Linked DNA regions of Saccharomyces cerevisiae S288C. The gene in region 2 interacts genetically with the main gene of each other region. Each region holds a gene or a part of one and is shown on either strand. Other genes may lie near its edges.

The links. Genes that interact genetically often act in the same process or in processes that back each other up.
Region 1: mutations in FAR3 (region 2) and YLR456W together harm fitness more than expected from each alone (negative genetic interaction), as found in Saccharomyces cerevisiae (2 studies listed by BioGRID).

The regions. Positions count from the first base shown.
Region 1 is NC_001144.5:1,053,522-1,056,184, reverse strand, and holds YLR456W (pyridoxal 5'-phosphate synthase), read right to left. Parts: upstream 1,116-2,663; coding exon 501-1,115; downstream 1-500. Other genes in the region: NBP1 (Nbp1p), read left to right, coding at 1-373; PDP3 (Pdp3p), read right to left, coding at 1,642-2,556.
Region 2 is NC_001145.3:377,407-381,199, reverse strand, and holds FAR3 (Far3p), read right to left. Parts: upstream 1,615-3,793; coding exon 1,000-1,614; downstream 1-999. Other genes in the region: STB2 (Stb2p), read left to right, coding at 1-854; YMR051C (gag protein), read left to right, coding at 2,875-3,793. UniProt on the Saccharomyces cerevisiae protein: Participates in the control of the reentry into the cell cycle following pheromone treatment.

The DNA.
Region 1 (2,663 bases), on a different chromosome or scaffold from region 2:
ACAATCATTACAAGAAGCATTGAATTACTCAAATGAGAAGTACAGGATTTTGGAGGATTTACTAGATTCTTCAAACATTCATCCATCATACACCAAATCTAGGAGAACCATGTCTAATCTAGCTAGAGAAAACGATGAGATTAAGCCCTTGAAAATTGATCTTTCCCCGTCTCCAATAAGAAGAACGAATTCATTATTCACTTCCAGCCCCATGAAAACATATAATCGGGATGGAAATATACCAGAGATGCAGCCGTTACAGGAAAACATATCTCCCGCCTGTCCCACTCCACCCTATCGTTCAAGGGAAACTGAAAAAGAGGATGAAACACTTTCACCAATCTCAGTGGACTTTTCAAGTTATTTATCTTAATTTCTCCTGTGAAATTAAAAGTATTCTCCATATATGGAGCGCGAAGATCACGGCCTAATCCTCATGATTCATTTTATAGATGCTTTATATAATAATTAGAGTACACATAGTTTTCATCATATTTCCGTTAAACTGGTTGTACTGTTTGGCCGTATGTAGAAGTATTATTTTCCATGTCAGAGACTTTTATTTTTTGTATATTTACCTTTATTATGGCTGTATCTTCTCCTAGTATAAAAATATCTGCGTCTGGATTGACTGTTAATAACAACCGCCTATAATAAGTAGATTCTTCACTATTAGGGTTCACAATATCAGCAATACCATTGATAGTAGCGCTCACTTGATTCAATTCACTTTGGTTCAAATCTCGTAAAAAGTTGTTAAATTTTGTAGACTCTGACTCAACAAATGAAAAATCATCTTTACTATGGACGCTTTTTTTTCGAAGAGTTAAATTTTTAGCTGTGATCCAATCGTGAAATAGCAATGCAACGTTTGGGTTGCTCATGACATTACGAAAGGTTACTGATTTCTCGAACACTGTGAATATAATATAGTCATTACAATCTATTTCTATACTATACTCATGTTTATGGAAAGTTTCCGCGGATGAAACAAATATGTAATGCATCAACGAAACAGATGGTATACAATTTGACGAGCATGTCGCCACATGAACATACTTGGAACTTTTAATCAGGCGTAACAGGTCTTTTGGTATTTGTTCATTGAGTTTCATCTTTAAAGGCTTGAGAGATTTGTTTTTTTAAGGTTTACTTTCCTTTGCAGAATGTTGCATAATTTTCACTATCAATTATACGTTTTTCAGATCAGACGCCTGCAACCCTAATTTTCGCACTCTGAACTTCGTATTTATCGTTTATTCAGTATAGAAAAGGAATATCAAATTTGAAATTCTAGATAATATTTATATATATGAGGTATCTAGAAGTGCGTTAACATTAGTGTTAACTGGGCTGCACCCACTTGTGACGTTTAAATTTCTGTCCCGGGCCTTTATCGTTTCTAAGCGCTTTGGTACGTCACAAGAGTACGCCTGATATTTTGTTGTGACATTACGTGTATGACTTATTAATACAATTTTTATGGATGGATAATTAAATCAATTTAATATTACCATTTGATGAAAAAAAGAAGGGAAACAAAACAAACGGTAAAACACTGTTTATTTGAAATGAAATGAAATGAAACAATATTGGATATTGAAACGTTGATATATTGAATTGATTCAATAAGTATTATTATCAAGGCGTAGGTAGCGCTTGCAACTTTTCTTTCTTCAGTTCTGTGATTAGGTCTGCCCAGGACAGTAAAATTTCTTTACAAAGTGGGTGAAATTCGCCTAAGTCAGGATCATTAACAATTGCTTTCAGTAGCTTGTGTAATTTGCTTTCGCGTAGGGCCTTCAAATCAAAAAAGGGCCGTTTGGTGTCAGAATTCTCATATATTCTATTTAATAGTTCATGAGTTTCCTTGATCTCATGCTCAGTAGGAGGTGTTTCTCTCTGGATTAGATTTCTTTGAATCCTGCGGCGAAATAACTGTGAAATTTCTACTCTTCTGGAATAGTCTAATTTAACTTTCTTTTTATTGCCACTGTTTGATTTTCCTCCCGAATTAGCTGTGGGTCTCTTTTTTTTGGACGGTTTGATGTTCGGTTTGCTTTCTTCTTCATTTGATTTCTGGTTATCTTCCGGATCTTCTTTGATGGATATTGAATTTTTTTTTCTTTTATTCACTACTTTTGTTCGACCTACAAAGGGATCTTCTCCGGCAACGATTTTAGAACCTTCACTTTTCTCAAACGCTTTTAGATCACTTAACCTGTTTTCTTCTTCAAACTTTTCTTGTAAAAATACGTTGAAATCATCAAAATTTTTTGCTTCCTTATAAGCATTGACCAATTCCCTTTGGTTTGCATTTTTACTATGTTCTAATATGAAATTGTGAATGCTGTCTTGATCTAGCTCCTTTAATCTACTGGGTTGTTCCCAATAATAAGTTGGATCGTTGAAAAAACAAACAGCAACACAATTGGATTTTCTCTTTCTATATACATCGTTTCGCAGCAAACGCTGTGGAAATACTACAGCTGGCCAAGGTGGAAACGAGCCAACTTTGCATAACACTAAATCGCCTGTTCTAATATCTTTTGTCATAAACTTGCGGACCAAACCAGGGATAGCTAATATCACAAAAGAAATGGAAGTAAAAACAGAAAAAAATAAAAGGGAAAAAAAGCCAGGAGGAGCAACGACTGTAGGTC
Region 2 (3,793 bases):
TTCCAAACTACGATAATACCAAATATGCATATAATTTTGGCATCAACAAATTATATCAAGGAGAATACTACCGAAGAAATTCGTTTCCCTATTGTAAAGATCGCACACACGACAACATTTATGAAGATCTTTCAGAGCTGAAGGAAAAGTCATCTCGTTTGTATAGATGCAACTCTTCTTCTGCTGTACAGAATATTGTGGAAAAATGGGATTTACCATTTGATCCATCTGTTGTTCGAATAGCTAGAGATTTGTTACGAATGAAATACGACATCCAAGCGCAGCAACACATACAAGAAATGGATGAGCATTATATGGGTAAATTAAATAAGGAGGGAACTGTTGGTCAGTACTCTAAATTCAACGAAAGATATAAAAGACTGCAAGAACTATATAAGAAGTATTCAGATGGTGCAAAAGTGTTTGAAGGGAGATTTGAAGACATTGACAATAAGCAACAACTTCTTCTCCATGAGATGCAAGAGTTAAATTCCTTATCATCTAGGTTGAAATATGATATGAGGATATTGGAAGTTCGTGTACGAGATATTGAAAGTAGTGTTGCTCAGTTTGATTCCAAATTAATTGGGTTGAAAAGCTCTCTTCAGGGACAGGGTAAAACTGGAATATGCTCTGCAATAGATCCCAAGAGTGATAAAGACGAATATGATAGATGCGTAAATGATTTGATGACCACTAACAACCCCACCTATGAAGCTCTTTGTTTAAAGATGCTGAGCCGCCGTTATTTTAAAGATTTAAAGAATGATACTGTGGGGTGGTTCAGGTGGTTATTTGGTAATAATTCTTTACACAATAATGCCAGTGAAGACGATAGAGGAATACGAGTATGATTTTTTTCGGTTCATCCTAATTTTTTTTTTTTTTCAAAAGGGATCTAAACATTTATCCGTTGTTATAAGTATATTAAAATATATAAATGCATTCAAAGGTTTGCTATTTCACGTCTGCTTACACTTTTGTTCGATCCATCGTAGGCTATTTCAGTACCTGGTACGTGTCTTGCAGGTATTCCAACTGTTTTTTAAAGCGGCTGTAATCTCTGGAATCTTTAGATATACGATCCCAATCCACTTCCTTCAAAAGTTTTTCAAACTGTTTGATAATTGAATGCAATTTTTTTTTTGTTTCTTCATTTTCTGTCTTCAATGACTCGTAATTTTGTTGAAGACTTTTGTTCCTTTCATCAAGCTTCTCTGATGAAAATGTGGCAATATTTCGTTCTCTTATTGCATTCTGTTCGTCGATAAAATTTTTAATATATGAGAAATGCTCATTTATGTTGTTAATTAGCGCAACAGCCTTTGTATTGAAGTACTCTTGTTTTTCAATCTCGTATATGAGTTTAAAATTTTCGCTGATAAGCTTCTGTGCCTCAGTGGGGGGAGATGCTTTTTGAGATGCATTATCTTTCCATGAATCTGGAATTATGTTTTTGCTCAAATTATCATAAGATATTCCTGACTGTTTGGCAAGGCGCTTTAACAATAGTTCTATTCGATCGGTCTCTTGTCTGTTAGCCCGACACTCTGCACTTAAAGCTTTTGTTAATTGAAGAAGATAATCGAAACTATCACTACCACCGCTATTCATATTTGCAAATCACTATATATACTGCTCTGTGCGAACTTATGATGGAAAAAACGAGCAAGAAGTAATAAATCACGGTTTAACTTTCTTCATTAATCGCCGAATGCTAGCCGGAGCTTTGAATGAACCTTTTATTGTGGTTATATTGTTATACAGGTGTCAATATAAACAATAAAAGTTGAAGCGGTGGCTCAATGGTAGAGCTTTCGACTCCAATTAAATCTTGGAAATTCCACGGAATAAGATTGCAATCGAAGGGTTGCAGGTTCAATTCCTGTCCGTTTCAATTTATTTTTTAGCCCTGTGCTTGAGATTATCGTCGACAATGACCAGCTATAAGCTGGCAAGATTGATGCTCTAAAACGCGGGGAATAAAATAATCAAGATGATTAATTGTTGGGATTCCATTGTTGTTAGAGCCTACAATATTAGGTACACAGAATATACTAGAACTTCTTCTCGAGGATGTAGGAATCGTCAAAAGGGAATCGATAGTTTTACGTAACGATATTACTTTATGTTCTTTCTGTTGGAATGAAGCTATAAAATATCATCTGTTCAGTAGTATTCATGCCACTCGTACATTATCATATACAGTGTAAGAAGATGATCTAAACATTGAGAAACAGTCGTAAAATTTAATGGAAGCAGAAATATAAGGATTGATAATGTACTAGGATAATGAAACATACGAAAGGGAGGGAGAAATAATTGTAATTGTATTATATAGGAGTATCGATTCCAATTTGAGGATTGGTATATCTCTCAGGGGAAATTTTATTATATTCTGTACACATAATAAAATAAAGCCCTTGCGAACAATAGAATCCCAACGGTTATCAAATTATTCACAAATTGATCACTTCCTTTTTATACTTTCCCTCTCGCTTCTTATTACATTATCAATCATTGCATTTCAGCTTCCCCTAAATCTGGTGACTGTTTCTCAATCTTTAGATCACCTTCTGTTGGAATAAAAATCCACTATCGTCTATCAACTAATAGTTATATTATCAATATATTATCATATACGGTGTTAAGATGATGACATAAGTTATGAGAAGCTGTCATCGATGTTAGAGGAAGCTGAAACGCAAGGATTGATAATGTAATAGGATCAATGAATATAAACATATAAAACGGAATGAGGAATAATCGTAATATTAGTATGTAGAAATATAGATTCCATTTTGAGGATTCCTATATCCTCGAGGAGAACTTCTAGTATATTCTGTATACCTAATATTATAGCCTTTATCAACAATGGAATCCCAACAATTATCTAATTACCCACATATATCTCATGGTAGCGCCTGTGCTTCGGTTACTTCTAAGGAAGTCCACACAAATCAAGATCCGTTAGACGTTTCAGCTTCCAAAATTCAAGAATATGATAAGGCTTCCACTAAGGCTAACTCTCAACAGACAACAACACCTGCTTCATCAGCTGTTCCAGAGAACCCCCATCATGCCTCTCCTCAACCTGCTTCAGTACCACCTCCACAGAATGGGCCGTACCCACAGCAGTGCATGATGACCCAAAACCAAGCCAATCCATCTGGTTGGTCATTTTACGGACACCCATCTATGATTCCGTATACACCTTATCAAATGTCGCCTATGTACTTTCCACCTGGGCCACAATCACAGTTTCCGCAGTATCCATCATCAGTTGGAACGCCTCTGAGCACTCCATCACCTGAGTCAGGTAATACATTTACTGATTCATCCTCAGCGGACTCTGATATGACATCCACTAAAAAATATGTCAGACCACCACCAATGTTAACCTCACCTAATGATTTTCCAAATTGGGTTAAAACATACATCAAATTTTTACAAAACTCGAATCTCGGTGGTATTATTCCGACAGTAAACGGAAAACCCGTACGTCAGATCACTGATGATGAACTCACCTTCTTGTATAACACTTTTCAAATATTTGCTCCCTCTCAATTCCTACCTACCTGGGTCAAAGACATCCTATCCGTTGATTATACGGATATCATGAAAATTCTTTCCAAAAGTATTGAAAAAATGCAATCTGATACCCAAGAGGCAAACGACATTGTGACCCTGGCAAATTTGCAATATAATGGCAGTACACCTGCAGATGCATTTGAAACAAAAGTCACAAACATTATCGACAGACTGAACAATAATGGCATTCATATCAATAACA